4 linked regions of the Lepisosteus oculatus genome follow. The protein of the gene in region 4 interacts with the protein of the main gene of each other region in a biochemical or structural test. Links are inferred from orthologs where the notes say so. Each region holds a gene or a part of one and is shown on either strand. Other genes may lie near its edges.

Region 1 (7,795 bases), on a different chromosome or scaffold from region 4:
TTAATGCCAAACATTCCAACATACTTTTACACATCAACACCACCTAAATCCAATTTGTTGTCACATTGGTCACATTACTTCAGCCCAAGTCCTGAAAAATGTTGAATTAATTAATTTTTATTAAGCTTTAATAATATGAGGAAAATAAGGATAACTGCCTTAAGTGTCTCCCTCCATCACGTCCCAGAATACAGAAAACTATGAATGAGTAAAATAGAATGAGCACATACATAGAACAGCTGTATAAATTACCAGTATCTCCAGAAATGGTTTGAAATTTTGTTTGACCAGTACAAGCAACATGATGATGAATTTATAATACCACTTAAGGAATATGCATAAGCAAGGTGCACTGTCAGACTGTGATAAGTCATGACTCTTGGCACCAGTCACATTACTTCAGCCCCTGTGCCAAAAAAAATCTTAATGAATTCATATTAATCAAAAGAAAAAAGTGGGTATCTGGTCCAAGTGTCCACTGCCAATGCCCTTTCACCACACCCCAGATTACAGAAAACTATTTATGAGTTAAATAGAATACATAACAGCCGTAAATGCTGCTTAAAAATATGCATAAGCAAGGAGCATTTTCAGGCTGCAATAAGTAACAATTCAAAAAAAGAGAAGAGGTGTAAAAAGATCAGTCGACAAAAACATAAACTTTAAGCTTTGCAGGTTCCAAGGAATTCATACAAGATAAAATGTCAGCCATTGAATTGCTTTCCATTCACTTACCTCATAGTACTGAGAATACTTTTTAATGTTTGATTAAAGATGAACTTTATTTCATTATACTATTAAACAGTAGGGCACTATGATCATTTTAGTTGACTTTTACCATTTCTTTAACTTAACAAACGGTATTTTATTGTTCCTAAAGCTGTGGGTGTGGACTACCGTGACACACCTGAACCTTTACTGAGTTGGTCATCAGCCCTGGGGGACTCTCAGTCTGCTAAGGTTATAGATCAAGACGACTAAACCAGAGGCATCAGTGTGACAGGGCTCAACCTTTGTTCTGTGATATGTGTTGACCATTAAAGGCAGCCGCTTATCTAGAAACACAGATTTTCTGCTACAGTACCATTAGTAAACATTTTCGCCCAGATATAGCAAATGTCAGCAAATCAAAATTATGATTAAGCAAATCAAAATTATCATGAGACTGCTGGTTGAAGGTCTTCCCTCATACATCAAGGACACCAACCATGCGCTCCAACTTTTTAATGATTTTCAATTTCAGGGACCCGAATGCTACATTTTGTACCATGGACATCACATCTCTTTACACCATCATTCCCCATAACGATGGTCTTACAGCCCTCAAGCACACGCTGGACAAACGCACAGCACTTGATCCACCCACCCACACCCCGGTACGTCTTGCAGAATTGGTTCTCACACTGAATGCATTCTCATTCAATAAATGTCACGATCGTTACTCCTCCTCTTAAGGGCACTCCAGCCCTTCCTCGTTCTGTCCCATTCCCCACACCTGTTCCTTATTCCAGCCCCTCTTTAGTTCCACTTTTAAAGCCAGATGCAGGCGACTGCTCGGGGCTTCACATTAATTTCCGCATCGTGAGAGCCCGGGGTCCTGCTGCATCTGGCTCCGTTATGGTTTTAGTTTCCTGTTCCTGATTCCCTGTCCCGCCGGTCCCGACCCAGTTCTGGTTTTTAATTACTTTGGATGGATCCCCTGGTCTTGGACTCTGCTCCCATTTTGGATTTCCCTTTTGGATTTATGCTTGGATTGTTCGCCCCGGACTCACTTCCCCTGGACACCTGCTCACCTCGGACATGCCCCCCTGTCTCCTGACCCACTCCTGCATGATATTTTTCCCTATTGTTTCTTCACCTTCCGGATCGTGTCGTCCGCATAGGGCCCGGAAAGAACTGTTCCTGACAATAACCTTTTTTACCAACAGGTAAGTGGAGTTGCCATAGGCACCAGAATGGGACCCAGCTATGCTATATTTTTGTTGGCTGGGTAGAAGAACGCTTCTTCGCTTCCTACACTGGCTATGTCCCTGATCTCTACAAGTGATACATTGATGACTGCGACAGTGCCGCCACATGCTCTAACAACCAGCTTGAGCGCTTTTTGCATCATTTCACCAACTTCCACCTGTCCCTGAAATATACAGTTAACATATCTACACTACTCTTCCATTTCTAGACATCAACTTCTCCATCAACTACCCCCGACTCTCCACTTCAGTCTATTACAAACCCACAGATTCACACAGCTATCTCCTGTATAAGTTCAGATGGGTAGCTGCGTCAGTATGCGTAGGTTGCAAAGGAACAAGTAATAGGTTTATTCCAGGTTGTTCCTTTATCTCCTGTATAGCTCATTTCACCCCAAACACACTAAAAATTCTCTCCCTTTTTCAAAGTTCCTTTGGCTACGACGATTATGCAGCGATGACATTGACTTCCAGAACAAAGCCCTCAAAATGTACTCAAACAACTCAATCAGGAACTCCATCCATAATAATCGCATTTGTATGGTGCTTCCCTAGAACTCCAACACACTTCCTATCCTCAGGACTATTAATGACAACTTTTACATCCTACAGGATGATCCCTCCATTGGGGCCCTCTTTTCTGACCGCCCCATCATTTGATATCGCCGAGCACCTAATCTGCGCAACCTTCTTGTTCACAGCTCCCTTAACCGCCCTCAGCAACCATCCACACCAGGCACATTCCTGTGCAACAGAGCTCGCTGTATCACTTGCAAGTACACATCTAACACCACACTCATTAAAAGGCCCCTCAGGACAATTCTGGATCACCCAGATGACATCTTGTACCTCCAGCAACCTTATTTACTGTATATCTTGCAATAAATGCCCAGCCATCTACATTGGAGAAACAGGAAGGAGACTCGGAGACCACTTCAGAGAACATGTCACGGTTGTGAAGATTAAAGATCTCTCCAAGCCCATTGTCTCTCATTTCACCTCTGACGGCCATGACCACTCTAATCTTTCCGTCTGTGTTCTCAAAGACAGTCTTCCGAACTCATACATCAGAAAGACTTCAAAAACCAAAACTGCAGCTAGGATCACATCTTCCCCCTTCAATTAATGACAGACTACTTTTCTTCTAAATTCTCTCTATTCTATCCTGACTTCACACCTCTTGATTGGCCTCTCTTTCTGTCCCCTGCTCCCGCCCCTCGCTCCTCCTCTCTCCCAGCTTTTGTTCTCCTGCTACATCACCTTTGCTTACTGCCCTGTCTTTCTCACACCTGAAGAAGGTTCCATGGCTGAAACATTGTGTTTTCCTTCTTCTTTTTTCAGCATGGAATAAACCTATTACTTGTTCCAAATCAAAATGATGCCTGTCTGTGGGAGACTGACACTGGGACTGGGAGGGTGTGAAGTGTACGCGAGTCACTGAGGTTCCAAGGAAGGAGGACAACCACAATGTATTGAGGAATGTATCCTTAAAGAATTCATAATAAATGCACATATTTAGTTGTGTTACTGTTAAAGACTTTATTATTATGCACTTCACTACACACTCTGGGCTTTCACGGTGCTCTGGGAGTTCTACATAATTTATGAATCATACATTTTAAAATATTTGGCCATCCATCTTCCAATGGAGGATTCAACATCAAATACATTTTTTTTTCCATATACAACGTTCCTCTCCTTTGGAACTTCTGGAGCTTAAATCATGAAGTGGTTTTGCAATTGTTCAGCTGGTTCGAGCTCTGCAATTCTGTTCCGTGCACTGAAAAAGCCACATGAAGTAAAATGAAAAAGGAAAAAGAAATAGTGGAGCAAACAAGCTCAAGTTTTGATTTGACTGTAAATTTATCATATGATGTAGAACAAAAAATAAAAAAGAGATATGAATAAACAAATATAAGAAACATACAGACATACCCCCCCCCCAAAAAAAAAAGAAAATCAAGAAAGTGGACGATTTATAGAAAACAATAAAACGTTCAAGTACTGCTGAAACAGTATTTATTGAATGTGATGCCTTACACCTTTTGAGCCTACAATACTTTTTAAGGAACCGTTCAGTAATTCTTTTAATTTAGTACGTTGGACATATAGAAAGGGTTAATTTTTCCGAACTGCGTTACCTGTGTAAGAGCTTGTCGAGGAATGAGATGGAGAGGTTTGCCGAGACCGAGGCCCTTTGAAGCCGTGCTCACCTGCAGGGGTGAGCCGTTTGAAACAGCAGGTGTCGCTCTGCGTAAAGCATTGCGCGACTGACGGTTCCTCAGTTTTCCACATTGAACCGTTCGGACAGTAATGATATTAAAAAAACAAAAACACTGCTCAAAATATCTACCTTATGAATACGACTTTTATGTTGACGTACAGTATGAGTTGAAATTCTAAAATATGTTTTCACAATACATCATTACATATATAAGATATATAATATACCTTTTAGAGAAATATACAGAAACGAACGTGTCTATAAAATACGAAAATAACAATTTCATGAGCCATAGCCTTATCTCGATCACCTTTTCAGTTATTAAACCTCGTGTGAAGCCCCACATAGTTCTTTTCAGTATTATGGAGGTAATGCAGCACTGACGTCCTGCTGTCTATTTAGCAGAAGCTGAGCAGTGGATGTGACCTGAATGCAATTTATGATATAATAATGGAATGAGCCGCAAAACACATTGAAAACAGACTTTCAGAAACGAAGCCACAGAAATGTTTCATCTGCATTTTCTCAGCCGGTCCAGCACTGCTGTGCAGTACATGTGCGATTTTTTTTTATTGCGGATACTCAGTATTGTTTTGTCTTGTAAGACTGTGCCGTAAGGATTATGCTTCTGGTGAAATTTTGTACGCCTTTATTTTTGCCATGATAAGTCACGCTTGGGTTTTTAAATAAAGTAATAGTTATATTGCATTTCCACGGTGTAATTCCGATTAAATAATCTATTGTGTTTTAGGTTCAAGCAGAAGAAACTGTGCAGGCAGGTGTTGCCTGACACGTCAGGCGCGTTCTTGAGGGGAACAAATACAGAAGGTATTTTATTTTACAACGGCGAAACAAAATAGCCTACCTTAGGTAATTTCTTTTCTGGGGAAAAAACATGCAGGTAGGTATCCGTTCAACAAGCAGATATCTAAAGGACAGCCTTTATCGCAGCCTTTCTTTACAGTGAAGGTGGGAGACGTGTTTAAATACCCGACCCAAAAGCTTGCTAGCACGATTGAATTCTCTGGGCAAAGGGAACCCGGCGGTTGTCCGCCAAAGCTATTGCACTGTGAGCGGCTGTCTCAATAAATCGCAAATAAATGGAAACCCTGGGTTTCAGAATTACTTTCTAGCAGAATGCAGTGACAGGGATTTTAATCCAGTATCATTACGCCGTTTCCGGTTCCTAGCTGGTGTTTCCCCATTGCAAACTCTTGAAAAAGCAGCATATCCAAATGGCATGGACACTTACGCAAGGTCTGCTGCTCAGCCGTGCTACTGGAGCCTATTTGCAGTCTCCTACTTCAACTCAACTCCATCATCATCACCCAACAGCAACGAGAGCACTGCAGCAGCCCGAGCAGCGACCACAGAGCCAAAGCAGACGGCATGAGGCTTGATTCAGTACATTTCTCCATGCTGGTCATCGGGGTCTCCTTCGCCTGCTACTCCCCGAGTTTGAATTCTTTGCAGGACCAGGCTTACAAATCAGCAGTGGTCATTGAAGGCAAGGTGCAGTCGGTACCTGTTAATGTCTCCAAGGAGCCCTACAGTGTGAATGTCAAAGTACTGGACGTGTGGCCCCTCAACAGTGGGGGTCTAGAGAGGGATCAGCTTGTGACCATCGGGGAATTTGGATCGGAGGCTCCGTGCACCAAAGTGAAAAAGAACCACAAATACATCTTTTTCATGGACCCAACCGACGAGCCGTTAGTATTCAAGGCATCGTTCGCTCCCTTAGACACCAGCGGGAAGAATCTAAAAAAAGATGTTGGGAGGATCTTGTGTGAAGACTGCGGTAAGTTTATTCTTCTCTGTAGTGAAAGCTCCCCGTGTTTCTGTTTGCTGTATTGATATTGCCCGTGGACACGTTGAATTGCGTTTAATAGCCTATTGAAGGCTTCCGTGTGGTTAAACCACTGCACTGGTTTTCCTAATAAGGTTAAATTATTAGTTAAACTGTAAGTAACAGATGGGTGTTTGTGGGGCGTCTCTGCAGTGTTGATATAATTAGAAATGTTAACATCTTTGGGTTTATGTAACATTACATATCTATTATATAGATAGATGAAGGGTAATTCTAAACACGTGTGTTATCACAATTATTTAATCTATGATTAAGGAGAAATTGAGAATTGTAGCTGCAAGTTTTAGGATAAATATTTTAGCAATTGTCTTTTGTAGCATTTTCCTTGCAACAGAAAACGTGCACTCAAGGGCTGTTTGTGCGGAAAAAATGGTTAATATATTTTGGGTGATGCAGTATGCTGTAGCAGCTCCCATTGAACGGAGCAGGCTATGCAGTTACATCTTTGAAGACCTTTCCAATATTTGCAGGGCAATGTGTTTGTGATCCCCTCGCTGTGTCTTCTGTGTTTCTGCACGCTAGAGGCTGATGATTTTGTTTCGGTAATTTTGCATAATCTTTTTTTTTAATTACCTAAAATCGTCTTAACTATGAGAGTTGATACTATGCTGCTATAGTAGGTACTATTGTAAACGAAGTTGCAGCAGCTATTTTCCTAATATTGTACTGCTATGCGTATCGTAAACGAAGACGCAGCAAGACTGTTGTATTAAAATGATAAAGTAGTGTGGAAGATTTGTGGTTAATGTACTTGTTGGAGAATGTACTGATGAACTCTGTGCCTTTCGTTGATCCTGACGTTACCCATACCTAGAATAAGGCTGTCATATCAGTGGTTAAACTTAATTTGGGGTATCTGTAATAACAACAGAGTCACAGTGTCATATTTGCTGTCTTGCGTTGCTGACGAATAAAATGATGTTGACTTATTCCCGATAATAGGGATTTATGCAAATATAAGCATTGTTAGACCGTTGATGTGGTGATAGAAAGTACTATACGACTATTTGATCTGGATTAAAAAAAAAAACATGCCTGCATTCCAGTGCCTACAGTGTTGAAAACGTAACGTTTGCTGCATAGTTAAGCCTTACCGTTTAATATTAATCATGGTGAAGGTAGCACACATTTCATGCTAAAAGGTTCATGTTACCAACTCTAGATTTGTGTAATCGTTTGTTATGAAGGGGGAGCGGTTGGGGGATCCTGGCCGCTGCAGTTGAAAAACAATTCGCTGGTACATCACTTCAGACATTAGCAGTTAATATGAAGAAATATAGGTTGCTGAGATTTTAATTACCATGACCGAAAACCATAATTTTATTGTGTTCCCCCCGATTCTAACAGCTTTTATCAGGTTGAACAGTTTTCCACTGCAGCGTTTTACCATTCCTAATGAATTCAATACGCATCATCTGAAACATGTTTGCCTTTGCAATTATCAATAATACAAACATACATTTAATCAAATGTACTCTCCCATCAATTGAGACTTATTGAAACAGTCATACTAAAGATAAAAGGTGAAGGCAGTCCTTTTAAGAAACACTGGCACTTTACTGGAAGATAGTACTTCACAAAGGATCAGAATAAGGAGTATTTCTCACAGTCGAAGATGTTTGTAGAAGCAAATACCAAAGACAAATTATACATACCAGTGTTAAATAACCTTCATGTCTGAACTGAAGAGATTGTACAAAATATTGACCATAACCTATGAAAACAGTTGTTTGG
Region 2 (7,890 bases), on a different chromosome or scaffold from region 4:
AAAATAACACCTTCAGTATATGGGTGTGACCATAAAACCTTACAAAGAAAATATACGACACTCCTCAAAGCAACACCACACACAATAAAAGAAATGACTTTTCTTTAACCTACAGTTGTCTTCGGTTTGATATCAGATTTGCATGTTTATTGGAAGGTTAGCCTGCTATCAGCTGTGAATTGCAGATATGCCGAGTTAAACTGCTCTTGAAATTGCTTTATCACATCTTTTTGTGCGCCCATCAAAATCATACTGTTATCACAAAACTCTCCTTTAGAAACGTTTTAGAACAATTAATCCACTCTAATGGTACCTAATTTGATAGATAAGACTATAATTGAAGTGCAGAATTAATCTTGTTTGATTTAATGAATTAGTATTTAAACAGAACTAAAATGAGTGTTTAAATAAAATATATCCTTTGTACATTCAATTTTGGATTTTAAAACATTGTAAATACCTTATGAACAGTTATAATTTTAAGTTTTTGTGATAGCGAAAGAACATGTTAACGTTTTAATCTTAATCTTCACATCTATATTTAGTATATTTATAGTTCAGTTATTCTGTAGTTTCACTATGTTAAGCTCTTACAATATAAAAATAAAACATGACGCACTGCACATGACCAGTTACGTAACATTAACTACATGTTTAATGTCCGCATTCATTCGTGTTTTTGTCTTGTTTCACCGCGGTGATTTTTTGAACACTTTTCCACAGCCAGTCTCAATAAAGGTATCGGAAGATTGGTACAGTAGCGCTAGCTATTAATAGCTACAAGCTATCGCATGAGGATTTCAGGCTATTATAAATTAATAACACGGACTCTGTAACAACGATTTCTCTTTTTCCCAGGAAACACCCATCAACAACCGAAACGGGCATCCCCTGTCAATCAAAGTCTTCAGCACCACGGAAAGTGGAGAGCTCCCTCAGTCCTCACCGCTCAAACAGGATGTGAAGCGTTCACACAGTGCGTTCAGGTAATACAATGCCCTAGCTTTTACAGTTTTCAGATGCTTTACGTTGGACATTTTATTAATTACATATACATACCGTAGGCAAAATACATTTTTATCCGCAATCCTCTCGATGATAAAAAGAGACATGTTATACTCCTTAAAAAGGCTTCAGCTTTTAGTTGTCAGAGATTTGAGATGGTAGCAATAGAATTCAGAGGTTTCGAAAAGAGCAAGAAATACGCATGAAGGCTCCAAACAGACCTCCAAATACCCTGCTCATAATAATCGCTTGCGCTTAAAGGTGTATATACAACAATTTATTTTGCGCTGAACCCTAATCATGGGTTAGAAAACAAGATAAGATACGGGTATTAAGTACAGTGCTTCATTAAAAATATACTAATTTTATACAAAAAATAAAAATGAAGGACTAAAATGTGAGTAAAAAGTAATGCAAGCTTTTCAGGCGACAGCGACTTTATCCAACATCATCATAAATCCTCCACAGAACTATGATAGACCGCCATGCGTCACAGACTACAACTCATATCTAAGCTTTCTAATCGTGCCTTCTAACACAAAAGTACAGAATCACAAATCGATTACTATTGTGATTACTATTACTATCACTATCGTGGTATTGATTTGGATACGGCATTTTAAGGTATAAGCCAAACTTACTTTGTAATTAATTGTTTTAATCAAGAAGTAGGCAACTAATTGAAATCATCCTTCCACAGCTGTAGATCGATAGCCGGATTGTTCGAAAACAATGCAATAAAATCCCTGAACAGTCTTCACACAGACTGTACACGTTATCAGAGCAAGAAATGTGTAAATAAGTCTTTCAACTCCTCCTATCAAACGCATTTCTATATTATTCTAGAGTCCAGCACTCTGGCGGTTTAATGATTTCAAACTGACAATCTGAATCAATTAAAACAACGTCTATTGAGACTGCTGAACATAAAGGATTAAAACTTCTTAAAAGTTTTAGACACCGCTCCAGGTCGAACGCAGAAGGATGTTGTTTCTACTACTTGATCTGTGAGCTCCACGTGTCTACCGTTCGCATAGTGGAAAAGTTGGATCAACTAATAGGCAGTTCAGCACTTACCCCATCCTCCACAAAGAACCTTGTTGATATCTTTTTTCACGTTCCGTCCGGTCTCGACGGGTGGAAAAGCTGCTTTAAATACAGAGGTGTCATTTGTAGGCTCCATAAAGAAAATATACCTGCTGTCTTTCTTCAGCGTGAGACAGTATTCTCCTACATTCCAGATGACGGATATAATGGAATCTTTCTCCAGACCTCCGGCTTTCACTGCCCAGACCTGATGGACCCTCACCTTCAGCAGGTACGGCTCCAAGCCTGTCGTCCTGTTGGATAACAACTCTTCCGTCGCGTCGCCGTTTTCTTCCATTTCTTGCCCCTGGGTTTCGTTGCCTTTCGCCCTCGCTCGTTCCCGAAGCAAACGCTCTTTCTCCTCGCGATTAATGTCGTTCTCCAGTCCCTCTTCCTGTACTTTCCCTTCAACGACCACTCCTGAGCGGTGCGCCAGCTCCTGCACCGAGTCCACAGTGGGAGTGGGAGAGAAATAGCAAGCGAGGCTGCTTGAGGGAACACCATGCAGAGAGAAAGCGAACATTACAAAAATCCCGCAAAGAAAAGGAATTGTGAATGGGCCGTGCAGTGCAGCAGGATGGGTTCGCATTGTGAATGTGCGAATGAAAAGTGCAAGTGAGGGGGGCTGGATGAGGTGAAAGCTGGTGAAAATTAAAAATGCAGGTTTTCCGAAGAGGGCAGTCTGCGCTCAATGGTTAAAACAAGTGTGCTGCCGCTGAAGCCGCAGTTGCTGCCGCCGGAGACCAGGGAGGCGGAGTTGCTGAATAGAAAAGTCTTTTAAAGCCATGTGTGTGAGGATTCCCTCTTCTCTACGATTAATTATACATTCGTTTGCGTGTCTCCGGACCTATCTGGCGATAGTCAGCGACAGCAAGATTATAGACTTTGAGATGCACGCGTTTTAATCTAAATGTGTCTCTTACGTTTTTCGACGGTATTAAAAACGATAGGATATATTCAACTTTAATTTAAAGCTCACCGAAATTAATACGCTTCAGATCCAGCGGGACCACTAAGAAGTTTAACGCCAGTGTTAATTTACTCTGGGGGCTTTTAGCCGTGTACTTTCAGAATTCGTCATCCATCCAGATTGAGCTTTATAGCAGGTGTTAATGGGGTTTAATAGGCAGTGATTTTGCTCCTTGTTTAAAGAGCAAGCCCTTCAATACAAAATGACTGCCATTAGTATAAATCATCGGAAGGCAATAAACATACAGTATCAGTTGAAGTAAAACTCAAATCCCCCAAGAATCTGTTGTTTTAATGCAACTATGCGACTACAAAAATATGCTTTTTCTATATATATTCCTTTTTATATAAATATAAATACATATAATTCTTTCATCTTAAATATTGCCATTCAATAAAGAATATCAACTTCCACACTTGTTAACCACTCATTAGCTGCTCCAAAAGTTACACTAAAAGAAAGAAACTTAATTTAGAAATCGTTCTTTAATAATAACAATTTTCCTCAGTATTTACATGTATACTAACAACAAACTTCAAGTACATCTTAAAAATGTTTAGAAACAAGGGGAGGCCATTTTACCTTTCTGTCTTATTTGGGTTTTAGTAGATAATTGATCGAATTGTCTCAACCAAGCTGGGAATTTATATAGAAGACGGGCCATTGATACAGTCGCATAGCCATATAAGTAACAGTACCTTGCTTGTCGTAAGACGTATTGCTGCCAAAGGCGTTTCCACCGAGTATTGATTCAGGGGGTGAATACTTAAAAGTTCTTTCACCACCCCCCCCCCCCCCCAAATTTATGGTTTTAACATTCAAGTTTTTAATTTAAAATATTCTTTCAAAAGTGTGGATACAATCGAATTACATAGAAAGTGATCAAAATGGGATATACTGTAACTAGAAGGGGGTGGATACTAGCTAAGGGACTATTTGAAACTCACTTGTATATCACTTTCCCATGCCATGTGACCCAATTTGTCATGTTTTCTTTCATACAATGGCTCAAAATATGGAGCTGCCAAAGATATACCGCCCAGATACTATATACACTGTTGAAAAACATGCTGATTAATAATTGCTTACCCTTATATAGTGCTTTTCTGGACACTCCACTCAAAGCGCTTTACAGGTAATGGGGACTCCCCTCCACCACAATCAATGTGGAGTGTCCACCTGGATGATGCGAGGGCACCCATAGTGTACCAGAACGCTCACCACACATCAGCTATTAGTGGGGAGGAGAGCAGAGTAATGCAGCCAATTCATAGATGGGGATTATTAGGAGGCCATGATTGGTAAGGGCCAATGAGAATTTTGGCCAGGACGCCAGGGTTACACCCCTACTCTTTTCGAGAAACTCCCTGGAATTTTTGATGATCACAGAGAGTAAGGAGCTAGGTTTTATGTCTCATCTGAAGGACGGCGCCTGTTTACAGTATAGCATCCCCCTCACTATACTGGGGCATTAGGACCCACATGAACCTCTGGGTGATTGCCCCCTGCTGGCCCCACTAACACATCTTCCAGCAGCAACCTTAGTTTTTCCCAGGAAGTCTCCATCCAGGTACCGACCAGGTTCACACCTGCTTAGCTTCAGTGGGTTGCCAGTTGTGAGTTGCAGAGTTATATGGCTGCTGTTTGTTTCTTTGTTTTCATTGAGTAAGAATGATTCTCAAGCAAAACATTAATTCCCAAATAGAATGTTTACAAATACTGTAGCTCATTTGATTAATAAAAGCTGGTTGATCCAAGGGTATTGATCATGTCATTTCTGAAAAGACGTGACAGAATTGTCTTCAACAGTACCGCTACTGCAGGTAACTTGTTCCACACTTCTGTCAAGAAGTGCATCCTAGAAAGCCGAAAGCCTGGTTTAAAGTAGGAACCACCTTCCTCTTCTTAGTTTCAATAATAAAAATGATTACATGAATTTCATTGATAATTTCTGGGAATATTTCCTTGGTGATCCTGCAGCTGGAAACTCTGGGTCACTGGCAGTGAAACCAGTAAGGGTGAGTAATGGCAGGGGGTCCTCTGGGAACAAGTCCCATGTTCAGTGGAGGAGGAAGATCTCTATGGCTGTTCTCTCACTAAGGTTCTCAGTCACCCAACTGTGGATCAAGGTGCCGCTTGTAGAGCTTGTATCCCAGCCGAACTGGGATGCTTGTACGCAGTTGACTCCTTAGCACAAGGATCCCAGTACTACGCATGGTTCTGAAGGTGGAAACCAACTTGCGGCTGCTGCCCTGGCTCCTCTTAAGAAAATAAGCCCACACAACAGCTCCCCATGAGGAAAGTCTTTTCAATGATGCCCCAGTGCAATGTGGTACAGTATGTCTGTTCCTGGCCACAAGAAGAAATGCATGCTCCCTAAGATGGGTAATCATCACCACTGACCTATTGCACCAGGGTACCAACTAGGACCAGCTGAAGAGGAGAACAGGACTGCCCTTTGCATGCTGCTCGCTTGTCACTCCTTCAAGCCCTCTACATCTTTGAGGTGGTAGATTCAATGGTGGTAATGTTGCAGCTGACCCAGATAGCCCATTTTCTGGTCCATTTTATTTTTAACCCTAAAAATAAAAGCTTGTAGAATCTGGGGAAAGGAATAGACATTCAGATATTCTTCTCTTGTCTGATGTTGAATTTCTAAGTTGTATGCCTTCAGCATCTCCAGCCAACTCTCCAGCTGCCCTGCTGAATGCCTGAAATTCATGAATTGTTGCATGGTCAGAATATGGTCAAAGCAGTGAATGAAATGTGATCCACAGAGGTACAGATGGATGTTGACACCACCTCAACCAGCAGCCCCCATAATGTATATTTCTAGCATAATCATTAGCAAACAGTTCCTCAATGCGTCACAGATAGGATAGGACAGCTCCCAGTTATCAGCATATTCAGGCACCTTTGGGATATTAAAGATTTCCTCAAATAAAGAAAAATATATTAAAAAACAAATCCAGATATGTATAGAGAGAGCATGCTGTTATTCTGATTTTTTGAATTCCTGAATTTCAGCATTATACAGCTTGCTTGTAGATTGTGCCCAAAATGTGCAGGCTTTATATTGTCCCAGAAAGGGATGAAAATTTAATTATGGTGGGAAAAAAATCCAGGTTTGTTTAACATATTTAATAACAGAAAACTGCTTTGGGTTTTCCACTGTCCATTACAGGTGACAGCAGTAAAAAGATTGGGAGTGTGAATTTCTCCACCCGTGTAATAAATACCTTTACTGCTAAATACACTCTGACATTCTTTCTGATACAAGACTAGACATTAATAGAATTGTTTGGACTCAGCCACTTCCAGCTAACCACATTTTACTCTGCATTTGTATTGTTCTGAGAAACACAAGAATGTGATCTGCTTGTGATAGCTCATTCATGACAGCTGTGGTCACTGTATTTGAAAACTTCTGAGCGAAAGAATAAAAAAACTCTTTCAGTCGCTTTGATTCTCATCTGTGTGTGCAATTGATATTCTGATCAAGTGCAAAATGCAATATCATAGAGACAACAAAAAAGTCATCCTCAAATTATTATGACAGCATTTCCCTTTGGCAATCATAGAACTGAAAATAATGTTACTCTATCTAACAATACAATTTACTGCATGATAAATAAGATGGTAAATTGCGTTGTTTAATGTTTGGTGTGTTTTTGTCTGTGCATTAAGTTTTAGTGTCTTATAGAACAGAAAAGAGGTTTATTTGTAAATTAGTCTAGTTTTAATCCAGTGTTTCATAACAGATGGAATTGAAGCAAGCCACAAACTACAAATATATTTATCTTCTTTTGTAATATAATGTAATATGCATGGCAGATATTTAATTAACATGACCATGTGTCTATACATGTTCAGATACTCTGAGTGAACTGAAATATTATTGAAATTAAAATGAGTGAAATAAACAGATGTAAACAGCATTGGATAATGTGCTGCAAATGGCACCGATAGGAAAATGTGTTTTCTATGTGATAAGTGTACTTTCTATTTAGTATTTAGCAAATAAGGTTAAATTTCTATGTTAAGGGTAAGATGATATGGCATATCATATTATTTTTGTCATAGAAAACATAAGTGGGAACATTTTAATAAAATCTAACTCTGTGTTCTAAATTTAGTCTTCAGAATTCTGTCAATATATTTTAAGTTGATAATTAATAGTTAAGTAAAAATAAACCGTTACAGAATAGCTGTACAATATAATATAAACCGGCTGTGTAAGGATGATGTTCAGGTAACAATAGACAAATTCTGGAGGGTGATATCATTGTACAATAATTCATCCTTTTGCTAACACGCTAATGTCATTTACATGTTGAGATTTTAATAACGTCAAACTAGTTTGCCAAATCTCAAAGCAGTATGATGCAACATGTTCTCTGACAGTGGGTAAAAAAGTCATTAAATGGAACAGTGTGAAAGGAAGACAAGTGTTCAAGAATAACTGAACTGGACATAGGTTTGTAGGTTAGATTCATTAAATTGGTTTAATCAGGGTATGAGTGCCAACCCCACTAGAGAGTAAAGACCTCTATATACAGTAGCTATGAAGTTTAAATTCAAGACAGGTCACCGCTCAAGAGTATGAGAAGATTGTGATTTGATTATCATTTTTAATTATCAGTCAGCTGTAATGTAAACACCGCATGACTAGACCATAATGTACAGTATAAGTGTTTCTGAGTGAACCTTTCATTTTCCTTTCACCACTTTGGGAAGTGTTGATGAAGCAATCAGAAACTTTTCATAGCAGTTTTCTTCATCATGTCTTCAGTCCTGTTTTACTAAGGTGTGCTGTTTTGCATGGTAAA
Region 3 (7,938 bases), on a different chromosome or scaffold from region 4:
CCATGCCAAGGAGGGGAGGAAATCCGGGATTTAAATGGAAGGGATGAATCACCAGAGAACGAGGCAGCAGGAACGCTGCTCTGTCAGGAACACACAGCCTGCCGAGAGACCACTGACGCCCTGAGCCCCCGAGAGCCAAACGAGGGGACTCCCTGTGCGAAATAAGACACGCGGTCAAGCAAAGACAATGGGAGTATTTTTGCTCCTCCATTACCACTGGGATACCCAGCGAGGCCGGCTTACACCCAGGCACTTTAATCCATACACTCGCAGGGCTGAGTCCTGAGCCAGCCCGGATAACAGCGCAGGCCTCACACTGCTAACTTCTCCGATCCCCCATCCAACAGGACACGGCGCGGGCTCAGACGAGACAATTCTAGATGATCAAAGAGTTCTTTAGCCGTTTTCCCTACACAACCAGCGCGCTGTCAGCAGGGTGAGCGCACAGGGACGAGCCGACAGCCACCATCAGATATCAGGCGTCTGCAGTTCCTCAATGGGGAGGAAAAGCCGTCTATAAAGAACTGAGGGGGATGACAGAGACTGCTGGGCTTTTCTTCATTGCTGTAAGTCGGCAGTTAAGAGTCAGGCAGCTCTTCCACTTCACTGACTCGCTGGCCAGCCTCCCAGAGGCAGCACAGGCTGGACAGTCACTGGTGCCAGACCTGCAGCGCCAAGCAGCACTACAGCTGAAGAAAATGCCAAAATCTCTGATCAAGGATCAGTTTCACCAGTAAAAAAAGGGCACGGCTTGCATGCACACGTCCTGTTGGGAGTGCTGGGACAAGCATCGCCCCCTGCTGAATCCCGATGACAGCTTGCTCCCGTAAAACAGCCCCAACGCCCAGCGTCGCTGCACCCCAGCACTGGCAGAGACCCGCAGGATACAGCGCCCGCGCTCGCTGATCCCCGGGCAACGCGGGGGGCTGCAGGGCTCGTGTGCGTCCGCTCATCGGGCCCGGAGGAGGCGTGGCTCAGCCGGGCGGGGAGCGGTCCGCCACCCGGGCGCGCTGGCAGCCCCCACAAGCCGCCATCGCGGCCCCTCTCTCCTGGCACACACCTCCACCCCGTTCCCACTCCGCCTCCCGGATTGAGAAACTCCCCGGTTTAATGATTCATCCGAAGGCAAACACACAAAGCAGGCCCTGGAGAGACAGGGCGCTCCAGCCCAGGCACAATCAGCTCTCCTGATCCCAGCCAGCGAGAGCCCACCTTCCGCACTCGGGACTCTGCCCGGGCACATCGCTGGGCAGGACCGAGCAACTGAGCCTGGGGCTGGTTCTGCTGGCATCGGACGAACGATCACTCCGCTGTTTGCAAACTGCACTCGTCCTTCCTGGGTCATTAAGCCCGATTCTCCTGCATTGCACGAGCCACATTAACACCGCTGCGAAAGCACCAGTTTTTAAAGAGAGATATTTCTGCAATGCTGGAAAAAACAGCTTCACTTTTGCCCCATGAGAACATCAGCTCCTCTCTGCCCCATGTCAGGCAATTTCAGCCAGGCTCACTGTGAAGGAGCCCATGTGCAGCCGGGCTGCAGCGCTCAAGACTTTCCACTGACCCCACAGGGACCCAGCCAGCAGCTCCCAGAGACAATGTCTTCGCTAGTCGGACTTCTGCTCCACCAGCACCCATCATCATACCACCTTACAAAGTCAAGCGCCACCAAACACGGGCTCAGCCTTGGCTCACCTTAACTTCAGGAGGATCTCACTGCAAACACAAGTTTGGATACGTCTCTTCACAAAACTGAACGACTTCTGTTACCAGGTTTCGCTTTCCCATCCAGACGCACCCATCAGCATAAAGTGTTTGATGTGAAACGACGGCAATGCAGTAACCCTCCAGATCAACAAACATTAAGCAGCGGCGTACTAAGACGCCGGTATTCTGGGAGACCCGGTGAAGCCACGTTCAGGTCCTTCAACGGGGATGAAGAGAAAACGGTTATGCTGAGACTTGTCAATACGAGTCAGCGCACACACGACCAGTCCGATCCGGGTGCAACCCTTAACGCGACGGGTGCGATTCCGCAGGGCGCGACGCCAGCGCACAGGACCCTCGACCTTCGGGGGCTCCCCAAGGTGAGCGGCCCTGGGGGGTCTCCCCAAAGAAGAGGGCTTTAGAGGAATCGACGCTCGGGGTTCCCTCCTCCCGCGCCCCGCGGACGGTGACGCCGCTGAGCCCGGGCGCCATGTGCGGGGTTTCACGCCCAGCTCCCCGGTGCCCCACCGGGCTCCTGTCACGCCGGGGGTACAACGCGTGTAGGGGGTAGAAACAAGGCCTCGCGTCAGTACACGGTTTCATCTTCATGTCCATAAGGCACCCAAGACGCCTCTAACGCGACTCCGGGACTGGAGAGCATCTCCTCACACGGTCACCGGGACCCGCGGGAATCGCGCATCCTCACCCCGGCTCCACCTGCGGCCAGCCCCCGCCCCCGCCCGAGAGGGGCACCGGGACCGAGCCCCCTGCCCTGCCCGCTTACCTGTGCCCGACTGTCTGTTGTTGCAGCTGATGCTGTTGATGATATAGTGGGAGACTTTTGAATTCTCCGAGACGGACAGCACGTAGTCCCCAGGGCTGGTGATCGAGTCCCTCACCAGGAACACGCCGTGCCTCTGCCCCTGCAGCAGGGACACCGCCTCCTGCCGGCTCAGCCTCCCCCAGTACCAGCTCACCCGGTCCTCGGAGTCAAAATTCCCGGCCATGGCTGCCACTACTACACCGCGGCTATCTCGGGGCCTACCCTTCACCTCTCCTTGTCCGCAAGCAGGAGCCAACTCATACAAAAAACTTTAACTTGAGGCGAATCCGCTTCAGAAAATGCACGACATCCGCGCCGCGCTGCCCGGAAAAAAACACCAGATCCGAAGGGCCAGATCCTCCGCCGACACAAAAACGGGCAATTCGGCCAGTCTCGCCAAAGATTTACCCCAAAGTTTTCCGATTCAAATCTCAGAAGTTCTCCCAAGAAACTCCAGGAAAAAAAAAACTGAAATGGCGGATCTGGGATAAAAATTGACCTTACTCACCGGATATGAGGTCAGCGGTTAGTCACGGGAACAACGGACGCGGAGGACACGCCCGACCATGATGATGAGGTCAAGACTCGCTCGACTCATTCATCCCACTCGCTAAACAAAACATGAAACAGAAAAACCCTTTGACCCTTTCTTTGAACTCTTTCTTTTACCCTACTAAACATTTTCAGCTATCATAATTATTTATATTTTTTCATGTTTGAAGTTCGTCCAATTTTCCAGAAAAAAGACCCCGTTTTGAATTTTAGTTTTAATGACTGAAGTTCTACATCACTCCCCCAATCCAACAAGAAAGTGTTGCCTTCTCTCCTTAGAAAGCGGAGTGTCGTTACCTCTGCCGTTATCTCTGAGTCACAGTTTAATCCTAGGAGGGGAGAAGATTCCAGTCATCCAGCCTCGGTACAGCCTGCAACCCTGTCCCAGTCGTGATTAATGCTTAGAAACGGAGAAGTTGCCCGCAGAGCGAGATTCTGTTCTTGATGTGTCATTGTAGTGACAAACAGTAGATTAATAACAACAGGAGTGCAATCTCTATAGAGATGTTGTAGTGCAGCAACTGAAATACACAAAGCGTTTCATTATAAAATTGGGATAAATTCCCAGTATTACAGGAAATAACGCAGAATTAATTTAAATTCAATACAGGTACACTTGAACACTTTTAAAACGCTTGTAAAATATGGGTACTTGTATTAAGATTGTAGCCATAATATCCATTACTCGACAGTCACACAGTTGAATCTTAAATACTAAACCGGAGGAGATTTATAATGCCCGTTTGTGTTCTGCGTGAACTTTTCCACACTTGTAGCTGCTGTGTGTCTAATTTTGGTTGGAGTTCGTCTGAGAGCTGTACAAGGTGACTCATGTCTGACGCACGAGAAAAATCCGTCCGATCCCACCGCGATCTACGCTGCTACAGCTGTGGGGTCTCAGTTACAGTCTTACTGGGAGAGTTTCTCGTCTCTCGTCCCTCTCAAGATAAATCAATTCCTGGGGACTGGGATGAGGAAAGAGTCCACCACTTACCACACACTTTAACAAATTGTGGCTCCGTTTGTAGACAGTTTAATCTGAACAAGCCCCGCTGCCTTAGTTGTACTGCAGGAGCAATCACAGATCAGACTAATAATTAACAATTCCACGGGACAGACGTAATCGCCTTCCACATCGTCCGCGATCAGCTTCTTTAAGATATGTTTCCACACTGATCCAGGTCACAGTGTCCTCTTGGTCCCATTCCAGATGGGCTCTGAACTAATTTAACTGGACGAAGGGCCTTCAGAAATACTGCAACAGCAAACTACAACAAGCTGTGTTCATTATATTCTGTCATTTTGCGCCGCTGGAAGGATTAAGACTGGGCGATGAGCACTTTAGAGCCTGCAGTAACAATAACAAGAAAAATCGAGACATTGTACAGAACAAAGAAAGTACCTGTATGTGATCACCTGCTGTATTACGTAATGAGTCCTTTAATGGAGTAGAACAGGGATCGAATCTTACATCACTGCAGAACACGTATGATTTAGAGGGAGTTCAGGTGGGTAACTGCGTCAGCATGCGTAGGTTGCAAAGGAAAAAGTAAAAGGTTTATTCCATGCTGAAAAGAGAAGAAAAAAAAACACAACATTTTGGCTGTGGAGCCTTCTTTGGGTGTAAGCCAAAGAAGGCTTAAAGAAGGCTCCACAGCCGAAACGTTGTTTTTTTTCTTCTCTTTTCAGCATGGAATAAAGCTATTACCTGTTCCTGATTTAGAGGTAGTCAGATGAAAGATAAGATAAGATCACTTAATTGGCCATATACAATTTCTTGCATTAGGAATTTGTCTTTTCTCATACCCCAGCTTGCTCTCCATGAGACACACAGACAGGGAGAGAGAAGCTGGGGGTCAGAGCGCAGGGTCGGGGATTTATAAGGCGCCCCTGGACCAGCTGGGGTTAATGCCTGTTCTTACGAGCAGCATGAACACAAAATACATAAAATTCCCCCAGGCTTCTGTGCGTCTCGTTAAACCCCAGTAATTAGATTGCACCCCTAAATACAAGCATTGTGTGAGGTCCAAACTCCGTCCAAGGGTATGGGCTGTACAGAATCATATATTGTGAAATACTCTACTCCACACTGGAGGTGAACTCATTGTATTCAAGCACCTTCATTGTAAAATAACAACAACAACAATAATAATAATAATAATAATAATAATAATAATAATAATAATTGTTTACACTTATATAGCTCTTTTCTGGACAGTCCACTCAAAGCGCTTTACAGGTAATGGGGATCCCCTCCACCACCACCAGTGTGCAGCCCCACCTGGATGATGCGACGGCAGCCATAGTGCGCCAGAACGCTCCCCACACACCAGCTATCAGTGGGGAGGAGAGCAGAGTAATGTAGCCAACAAGATAGGAAAAGACGGATGATTTCTGATACATTTAAGTGTTGAACTACACAACTAACAGATGAACTGCATTCAATTGCTGTGTTTTGTTGGGAAAAATCGACAACATTAATTTTGAGCCAACTGCGTAATCACGCGAAATAAGGACTTGGGAACAAAGGAAACAACAACACGACCTCAAAAGCCAAATGACAACACGTGTAATGCAGACACAGTACCACCAGGTGGTACTCTCGAGCTACGGAAAGAGGACCCCACTGGCGCTGGGGACGTCATCACTTGCGTGAAGAAAATTCCATTTTTGTTGTGTAAAAAAAACAATAAGAAGTCGAACGAGGCACAGGGCAGACCAGGCGCCACTTTCTACATGTGTACTTAGAGACTACAAGGCCGTGAGATCATTTATAAAGGGATAATGGATTTGAGTCTTCATTATTACAAAGACAACAACTTGATGAATAATTGAATATGGTCTTTTCTGTGTGTCACAGCTTGGGAAAATCACAGCCTGTTACTGGCTAAGTATCACTGTATGACTGTATAACTGTACGCACTGCTTGCACATCACAGCAGCCGCCACACTGTACCATCACAACGGGCGGAGTGCTGGCTCTGTGGCTACACCTATGGCTGGAAGGTTGCTGGTTCAAATCCTGTGGCTGGCAGAGGAATCCTACTGTGTGGGGCCCCTGAGCAAGGCCCTTAACCCCAGCTGCTCTAGGGGTGCTGTATAATGGCTGACCCTGTGCTCTGACCCCAAGCTTCTCTCTCCCTGTTTGTGTGTCTCATGGAGAGCTAGCTGGGGTGTGTGAAAAGACAAATTCCTAATGCAAGAAATTGTATAGGGCTAATAAAGTGATCTGATCTGCTCACTGCAGATGTGGGGCTGTAGAATCTATTGCTCTCTGGTGCTCATCAGCCTGATAGCTGTGCTGCTGGCGATGCAGTGTGGAACAGCAGACTGTCCAGGGACTGGTCACGTGGTCCTTCTTACTGGGATGAGCAGGAATCACAGGGTGGGGCAGCCCCTGCCTCAGGAGCCCCCCCTCTGGGATGAAGTCATTTCCTTTTCTGCTCTCTGCTCCACCAGTAATCCCCGTGGCGGGGGGGCTGCTGGGACAAGAAGAGCAAAGTGACTCAAAAGGAGAGCTAGAACAGCCATGGACTGGCACCGTGCTGTATTGTCTGTGTCTGGTCCTGCAGTGTTGTCTGTGTCTGGCCCTGCAGTGTTGTCTGTTCCTATCCTTGCTGTATTGTCTGTGTCTGGCCCTGCAGTGTTGTCTGTTCCTATCCTTGCAGTGTTGTCTTAAGCCAGCAGCCAGATCACCCTTCAACTCTCAACTGGCAGCCCACTGAAGCTCAGCAGGTGTGAGCCTGGACAGAACCTGGGTGGGAGACCTCCTGGGAAAAAAAAGGTTGCTGCTGGAAGAGGTGTTAGTGGGGCCAGCAGGGGGCGCTCACCCTGTGGTCCATGGGGGTCCTAATGCCCCAGTATAGGGATGGGGACATTATACTGTAAACAGGCGCCGTCCTTCGGATGAGACGTAAAACCGAGGTCCTGACCCTCAGTGGTCATTAAAAATCCCAGGGTGTTTCTTGAAAAGAGTAGGGGTGTAACCCCGGCGTCCTGGCCAAATTTCCCATTGGCCCTTACCAATCATGGCCTCCTAATAATCCCCATCTATGAATAGATGCTCTCCTCCCCACTGAGAGCTGGTGTGTGGGGAGAGGACTGGTGCATCATCCAGGTGGGGCTGCACATTGGTGGTGGTGGAGGGGATCCCCATTACCTGTAAAGCGCTTTGAGTGGAGTGTCCAGAAAAGCGCTATATAAGTGTAAGCAATTATTATTATTGTCTGTGTCTGGCCCCGCAGTGTTGCCTGTTCCTATCCTTGCAGTGTTGTCTGTGCAGCACTGCACAGGTACAGCTGAAGGGAAGGGGATCTGTAGAGCTGTGTCTGCACCTGAGACACCTGGGTCTGGCTTTCTCAGTGCTCACCCTGATCTGAAAGGGTTTTCCTGCAGTTACTGTTTCAGTCTCTAGTAGATCTTTTCTTATGCACAGACTCCAGTTTGAAGTAATTTCATCACCAGGGTATGATTGAATAGGGTTTGCCCGAGCATCTACAACTTTAGTGAAAAAAACAGAACAGGTATCAAAACCTAAATTAAAGTATAATTTGCAAAAATTGCAGGCACATCTAGTTTTCTTTTTAGGAACTTGAGTGACAGCTCCAAGTCTTTATTATTGTATTTGCCTTGTCTTTCTATAGCCCTGATCCTCTGATCACAATGGATTGGTCCAGTCTGCTCCTGGCAGTGCTGTGTTCGTGGAGCAAATATCAGGAGCTGGTGCCTGCTCAGGTGTGTGCTCTGTGATTTGTCTCAGCTGGGGTGCCTTCATCAGCAATGGTCATGCTGATACATGAAGAAAGTACTGTATTCTTTTTCTTCCAGACTTACTCCTTCTTGAAAGGTTCTGTTGA
Region 4 (7,626 bases):
CTGACACTGGCTCTGCTGTACAGCAGGAGGGGATTCTGCAGCCAGCAGAACTTCAGCACATAAGCCCTGCAGTAAAGTTTTACAGCAGGCGGCTATAAGATTTTTATGACAGGAATAACAGCCCTGTCACCAGATGAAGAGCCAGGCATGAACAATCTCAGCCTCTCACTCCAAGGTACTCCCAGAGTACCCCTGAGTACCCACTGCACCCCTCTGGACAAGGTCCCGAGAGGCAGAGAGGCCGAGGTTTCAGTGTTCATATTCCTCCAACACACAGATTCATAAACTACATTATTAAAAAGCAGAAGGATAGAAAACCATCAGTCCCTGTTTCCCAATAATGCTCTGAGCAGGTGTGAATGTGGGTCAACACACACACGGCAATCGTAATGCGTTGCCACCATCCTTACTCGGACTAAAACACAGGCTGTCTCTCCCAGGGCAGACGGTGGTCAGTATGGGGGTGTCTCTCCTTTCTGCTGGAGAGAGAGGGGTGATGCTGCCTGCCCCAGGGCACTCTGGGAAGGCTCAGCAAGGGAGGTGTCGTGTAGGCAGTCGGACCCCAGATTCCGCGCCCCGTCTCGGACCCACCTCTGCTAGGACTGGCCATCCTAGCACAGCCTAACACATCCAAACACCACACCTGCCCTGCTGAACCTTCCCAGAGTGCCCCGGGGCAGCCAGCGTCACCCCTCTCTCGGTAGTAGGAGGGAGAGGCGCCCCCATACTGACCACTGTCTGCAGTGGTCACTGATATCTGGGGCCCTGTTTGACCTGTGACCTCCTCTCCTGAGGCTAGGCCTCTCGCGGTGGCAGCTCAGCCAGGAGATTTTGGTGTGGTTCGGACAACATTCCCAGTGAGGGACAGGACTTGAACCCCGACTCCCGCACAGGCTCGTGGGGGGGCTGCTCAGACGCTGCGAGGCCGTTGCTGGGAGTTGTCGGACCGGAAACTCGGCCAGGCTGAGGGAGTGGCTACAGTCGATTGCTGTGGCTTCATTAATCTGCTGCTGCCCCCACCCAGGCTGAGTCACGCAGAAGGGCCCCAGATAGTCTGCCCTCCACACTGCCTGCGAGTTCGCCGGGAACCAGACACACCTTCCGTCTCTGCAGGCTGTGAAGAGTGAAGGGGCCTGGGGACTGGCTGGGCCATCGGCCCCTCAGCACAGGCAGGAGGCCTGAGAAGGCCAGCAAGAATGTGCCCTGCAGGTGCAGCAGAGCAAACAGGCTGAGCCAGGGAACAGGTCTGTCACTGCTGAGCACACACACTGATACACACACTCACTCTGATAGATAGACACACACAGTGATACACACACTCACTCTGATAGATAGACACACACAGTGATACACACGCTCACTGATAGACACACACAGTGATACACACACTCACTCTGATAGATAGACACACACAGTGATAGACACACACTCACTCTGATAGACACACACACTGATACACACACTCACTCTGATAGATAGACACACACACTGATACACACACTCACTCTGATAGATAGACACACTGATACACACTCACTGATACACACTCACTCTGATAGACACACTCTCTCTGATAGACACATTCACTGATAGACACACACACTGATACACAAACTCACTCTGATAGACACACACACTCACTCTGATACACACACTCACTGATACACACACACACTGATAGACACTCTCTCTGATAGATAGACACACACACACTGATAGACACTCTCTCTGATAGACACACACTGATAGACACTCTCTCTGGTAGACACTCTCTCTGATAGACACTCTCTCTGGTAGACACTCTCTCTGGTAGACACTCTCTCTGGTAGACAAACTCACTCTGATAGACACACACGCGGATACACAAACTCACTCTGATAGACACACTCACTCTGATACACACACTCACTCTGATAGACACACAGATAAACACACTCTTATAGACACACACATTGATACACACACTCACTCTGATAGACACACACACTGATACACACACTCACTCTGATAGACACACAGATAAACACTCTTACAGACACACACATTGATACACACACTCACTCTGATAGACACACACAATGATAAACACACACACATACTGATGAACCACACACAGTAACACACTGATAAACACACAGACACACCGATGGGCTGAAATCCAGACAGCTCTCACACACGATAGCTCCAGAGGTTTACCGAGCGAGTGGAAGGATCCGTCACGAGTTCTCCGAGACCCATGTTCATGTGGACACACGGGCCCCCGGTTCTCTATCGTCTGAGAGTGGGGTGTCCCTCCGTCCGTCAGCCCTTCTGTCAGTGACCCCAGTGTCAGTGACCTCTCAGTGGGTTTACGTGTACAAAGGCCACGGCTGTCAGACCTCCTCGCATACCGAGTCAGACAGAGGTCCCCCCGAGGACGCGGGGCGGGCAGTGACGGCTCAGGAGCTCCCGGGGAACTGTCAAACCCGGGGCTCAAGGGAACCCCCCGGCAGCGCCTCGTCAGCCTGTCCCGCAGCCCGGCTGCCTCACCCGGCACAACACAGAGCACACACCAAGCCAGCCGGGCCCGCTGACGACTCACGGACTTTACCGGTCGCCATTCCCGGAACATTATCAGCCACGACGGGAACGGCAGAGCACCCACCTCCGGGGAACACGCGTCCTTCTTTTTTTGCTAGAAAGGTCAAGTGTTGTGTCACTGAAGAGAGATTTTGACGCCTGGCTCTGTCCCCCGAGTCATTCCCCTTTGCGGGAGGGGGCCAGGTCACCCCCGGGAGGGGGCGGCAGGTGGATGCGGACCGCACGAGGAAGTGTGGGTTCCAGCGCTACTAAATCACAGAGCCGGCACGCGGAGCGGAGCGCAGAGCAGCGGGGGGGGGGGGCACGAGGACGTGCGGGACGGCAGGTCTCTTACCTTCGTGGGACTGCGGGCGAGCGGGCTGTCCGGTCCACAGCAGCGCCAGGCACACTGCGAGCACCTGCCGGCAGAGCGCCATCCGCCCGGACTGGACTGGACTGGACTGCAGCGGAGTGGCCGGGCCGGGCGGGTCAGGGGTGCATGTCGAGCCGGAACAGACGCTGTGTCCCGACTCCCTCTTCCCCTCTCCCGTCCCTTCTAGATCCCAGGCTCGCAAAGTGCGTTCCCAGACCGAATTCCAAGAGTTATCCGCTTTTAGCTTCCTGGTGTATTCTTTGTTCCCCGTAGTATCTATGTGCCCGTCTCCAGGTGTGCCTGCCTCGCAGCCTGAGAGAACAGCGGAAAACCCTCAATCCACCTGAACTGGTTTCGGTTCCAGACTGACGGCGGCAGGCAGGTTCTCTCACGTGTGTCACCTGGTAACCCCAGACTGACAGGGGTGAGAAACAGCAGCAGCAGCAACAACAACAACAGATCCGAGTGCGGGCAGTAATAGTAACGACGGACTTCCCGGTGACTCCTCGGCGCGGCGGTCCGAGGCGATCCGCCACAAGCTGATCCAGAAAGTTGTGAAGCGCGACACCCCCGCTCCACTCCCTTAGTATAAAACAGCGCAGCCGGGGCGCTGATTGGACGGGCCGCTGCCCCGAGCCGCCAATCGGCACCAGCGTCGTGGGAGCGCTGCGAATCGTGGCTGAGGCGGCGGGCAGGGTCCGTCGGGCTGTGAGGCTACAAAACAAAGGTGTAGGCGATTTAAAATATATATATATATGTCACAGGGAGTAATCAAATGAAGTGTCTTTTTGTTGTTGTTTTTTTTTTGGAAATGACGGCAAAAGTCATCACTCTCGGGTTCCCTTGATTCAAGATTCAAGATTAGTATTTGCCAGATACAACAAGTGGATTGGAACGCTTACTCGTTCAGCTGTGGAGGAAAAACCAATAGGCAGAAATGACAAACACGGACAATACATTGAGAAAATAGACGTTATAATACAGCCAAGGCAGGACATAGCGCAAACAGCGCAGTACCTTAAAGTGCAGGTGCTACTTTGAGGTGTTTAAGATGCGGACTGCTTGGGGGGGAGGAAACTGTTTTTTGAATATATTGGTCAGTGTTCTGATACTGCGATACCTCCTACCGGAACCCAGGGGTGAAAACAGACCGTGGCCAGGGTGAACTGGGTGCCGAAGTATAGCTCGAGCCCGGCTGCGGTCGAGATATATCCGGTCCCAGGGATTTTCTGCGCGGACCTCTCAGCCCTCTGTATGGCTTTTCTGTCCTGTACTGTGGCTCCACCGTACCACACCGCAATACCACCGGCCAGGACACTCTGAACCGTATTAGGGTAGAAATTGGTGAGGGTAGTCTTGCTCATCCCCCACTCCCGGAACTGTTTCGGGACGTGAAGGCGCTGGTGCGCTTTAGTGAGGATGGCAGCAAAAGAGCAAAATGACCTCTCCGACCAGGTCAGTGGCCGAGAGTGGGATGTCTCTGCGCCCGCCGGTCCCGCCAGCCAGACGCCGCTCCGCTCAAACACACCGGGTCGCAGTGATACCCTTATTTTCAGGGTAATAGACCCGGGCCCGTAGCGCCTGCTCCGAAAGGGCAGAGCTTAGGGACCCTCCGGGGGGCGATGGGCACTTTGAGTGAAGTTGCGTGTTTCCACCAATGGGACATCTTTCTGTCGTGCTGCTTTTATGTGAGGGGATATTTATATCGACTCGGAGGGGCCGCTGGTCTCCGTGAGAGAACCATTGTGCCTTTCTCCCGCTAGCCGCGACTTAATCACCCCGGCTTTGATGGGGACAGATTGTCCGGCAACAACGGCCGCATTGTCTCGGCGCGCCGGGCCTCTGATCTGCAGCCGGACGCGCCTCTCGTCAGGGAGAGAGGAGACTCGGCTCTGCTCTCATCCGCCTCCCTTCCTGCAGGCCGGGTTGAGAAAAATCCCTATTTCGGTAAAAGTCGGGTGTAAAAGGCAACAGGTCTCTGGATGGAAGGAGCTCCTTTATAACCGGGGAATTTCTGGCGCATCTTAGAAACCCGGTAAAGCGCATATTAGGGTCTTTAACGGGTCCTGGGCGTTAGGGAATCTTCCGGGTTTTATTTCAAACTACTCAAATATTTAAATAAATCTGCTGTTGGCTTAATTAGCCCAAATGTCGACGACCTGTAGGTTGAAGACAGACGCCTACAGATAGTGAAGAGCCCAGTTACAGGGCTGCACAGTCAGAGCCCTCTAAACCCCAGATTCGTGGTCAAAGCCTTCTCAAAAGAGACGCTCAGCAAACAAGGCCCTATCAGAACAGGCTGTTCAAAGTGTCTGTGTGTTTAAAAGGGTCAGACCCACCCTGTAAGAAAACTGCAGGCAATGGAGTGAGGCCACAGCTCAGGTGTGCACTCGGATTCGAATTCCAAGGGTGTTCTGGGCCTGGCCCTTGCATTGCTGTTGGATGCTGGGAAGGCAATAACTAGCAAAACATTCACAGCCACTCACAACAGAACATTCCTGTTACTGTGGAGAGGCTCTCTGTTCCTCCTCCAGTGGGACTGGGAGCTGTTCTGATTCTGGCAGGGGTGGGAATTCAGGGATTAGGATTGTTGTTTGTGGGGAAGAATATTTGTCTAATCTCAGAATACTACCTGTTTCACATTCAGTGAGCTGAGCACTCTCACTCTGTGTCACACCCTGCTAGCTGTGCACTCACTCTCTGTCTCACTCTGCTAGCTGTGGACTCCCTGCTAGCTGTGCACTCACTCTGTCTCACTCTGCTAGCTGTTCACTCACTCTCTGTCCCACTCTCTCAGTGTGCTAGCTGTGCACTTCTTTGTCTCACAGTCTGCTAGCTATGCACTGCTCTGTCTCACTCTCTGCTAGCCGTGCACTCCTGTCTCACTCTGCTAGCTGTGGACTCCCTGCTAGCTGTGCACTCACTGTCTCACTCTCTGTCTGCTAGCTGTGCACTCCGTTGTCTCACTCTCAGTCTGCTAGCTATGCACTCCTGTCTCACTCTCTGCTAGCCGTGCACTCACTCTGTCTCACTCTCTGCTAGCTGTACACTCACTCTGTCTCACTCTCTGTCTCTCTCTGCTAGTTGTGCACTCACTTTGTCTCACTCTCTGTCTCACTCTGTATGTACAGGAATCTGGACTCAGACGGACTAAACAATGCGGAACAGAGATCATCAACACGCCCCTCCTCGCTGTTCCCGAGGCGCACAAACAGGACTCATGTTTTTCATAGCGGGGAGTGTTGCTCTCATTGTTTCGCGTGTTTCTAAGCCGCAGAACTGGTTCAAAACTCGAAATTCCGGCAGGTCCGACAGCCTGTAGTAATGATTGAAGCGTCGTGAAAAACAGGCCCCGAATGGGCCGCACTGATTTACCTGCTCAAAGCTGTAATTTTCAGATCACCGAATTCGCCAGATCGAGATAATTATAAGGGAAAGACAAAACAGATTCAGTAAGTCAGCGCTCAAACACACACAAAGGCCCACACAATGGAAGCTGCAGAGAAACGGTGGAGAACAGGGAACAGAATACACCATTCAAGACTGATGCCAGCTCACTCGCTCGGGGTGCTACCCCTACTGAAGAACTGACTAATTTTCAGAGACCTTACAAGCGACCCTGCCGGCGATTTCCGAGCGCAGAGAAGACGTTTAATCAAGGATGCCCTCTTGTGGTCTCCATTAGGTACTGCACATAACTAGCACTGGAAACGCTGTAGTCGATTAACCTAGCTTGATACACTGTGCTTGTCTTATTTCACGTGACCTTCAACTGTTTGTTAAACTTTTTATTTAACAATTAAAGAATTTACAAATACAACATGTACAATACAAAGTAGTGCAAGTTCATTTTATATAATAACTCATTAAACTTATTAACTAATTACTTAATTAACTATTAATTAACCAATCAATGAATTAATTATATTCTTATGTAATATTATTTCTATTAATTTATATAACGTTATGCCAGCATTGATGGGAGGTTACAGTACATATAATCAGCAAAAATAAAACGCTGTTTCATCTTCTTTCACAGAACAAAATCAAGTCACAATGGGACCTCAGCCCAATCCAGGCCTGCCAGTATTAGCCAAACCTTTCTGCTTCTAACCTAAAAGAAAAGATGATCTTTTCCATTATATTTCCCTTATAGAATTATCTCCTTCACAGCACTGTTGGGAGTTCTTTAATAAACCACTTTCTAGTGATAGTGTTCTTACTAGCAGCTAAAATAATTCCTAGTATATATCCATCCTTTAATTCCATGTAGTCAGAAGTAAAAGTACCAAAATACATAACAGATAATTCAAAGGGTATTTGTAGATTTACTATATTAGTAAGCACAAAATACAGTATATGAATTTCCAATATTGTTGTTTTTTCATGAATGACCAGAATGTGTTTGAATAAGTTGCAACTTGTTCTCCACTTAACATCCAACATCGTGAATAGCTTCCTTTTTGTTTTGCTGGAATTTTAAGACTATTAAAAAACCGAATCTAATGTTTTCAACAGCAATTTCTCCAAACTTGTAAACTGGTGGAGCTTAGTTGAAATCTGTTCTTCCACTGTTCTGCGGAAACTGTCTTATCATTTTCTTTTTCCCCACTATATTTTAATATAATTAATTTAATCGTTTTTCATACCTTCAATGTTATTATAGTTTTGAGATTATTTTCTTCTGGTTGCTT

What was found.
Region 1: the proteins of receptor tyrosine-protein kinase erbB-3 (region 4) and pro-neuregulin-2, membrane-bound isoform form a complex in vitro, tested with the Homo sapiens proteins (2 studies listed by BioGRID). The link is inferred for Lepisosteus oculatus from reciprocal best matches to the Homo sapiens genes ERBB3 and NRG2.
Region 2: the proteins of receptor tyrosine-protein kinase erbB-3 (region 4) and nrg1 form a complex in vitro, tested with the Homo sapiens proteins (8 studies listed by BioGRID and IntAct, with this or other methods). The link is inferred for Lepisosteus oculatus from reciprocal best matches to the Homo sapiens genes ERBB3 and NRG1.
Region 3: the proteins of receptor tyrosine-protein kinase erbB-3 (region 4) and crk form a complex in vitro, tested with the Homo sapiens proteins (2 studies listed by BioGRID and IntAct, with this or other methods). The link is inferred for Lepisosteus oculatus from reciprocal best matches to the Homo sapiens genes ERBB3 and CRK.

The regions. Positions count from the first base shown.
Region 1 is NC_090706.1:42,064,428-42,072,222, reverse strand, and holds the start of pro-neuregulin-2, membrane-bound isoform, read left to right. Parts: upstream 1-4,791; 5' UTR 4,792-5,583; coding exon 5,584-5,992; intron 5,993-7,795. UniProt on the Homo sapiens protein: Direct ligand for ERBB3 and ERBB4 tyrosine kinase receptors. Concomitantly recruits ERBB1 and ERBB2 coreceptors, resulting in ligand-stimulated tyrosine phosphorylation and activation of the ERBB receptors.
Region 2 is NC_090698.1:27,192,612-27,200,501, forward strand, and holds the start of nrg1 (pro-neuregulin-1, membrane-bound isoform), read right to left. Parts: upstream 3,014-7,890; 5' UTR 2,681-3,013; coding exon 2,083-2,680; intron 987-2,082; exon of another isoform or gene 859-986; intron 739-858; exon of another isoform or gene 666-738; intron 1-665. UniProt on the Homo sapiens protein: Direct ligand for ERBB3 and ERBB4 tyrosine kinase receptors. Concomitantly recruits ERBB1 and ERBB2 coreceptors, resulting in ligand-stimulated tyrosine phosphorylation and activation of the ERBB receptors.
Region 3 is NC_090721.1:11,081,635-11,089,572, reverse strand, and holds the start of crk (adapter molecule crk), read right to left. Parts: upstream 3,018-7,938; 5' UTR 2,715-3,017; coding exon 2,492-2,714; intron 1-2,491. UniProt on the Homo sapiens protein: Involved in cell branching and adhesion mediated by BCAR1-CRK-RAPGEF1 signaling and activation of RAP1.
Region 4 is NC_090696.1:14,628,483-14,636,108, reverse strand, and holds the start of receptor tyrosine-protein kinase erbB-3, read right to left. Parts: upstream 3,005-7,626; 5' UTR 2,997-3,004; coding exon 2,915-2,996; intron 1-2,914. UniProt on the Homo sapiens protein: Tyrosine-protein kinase that plays an essential role as cell surface receptor for neuregulins.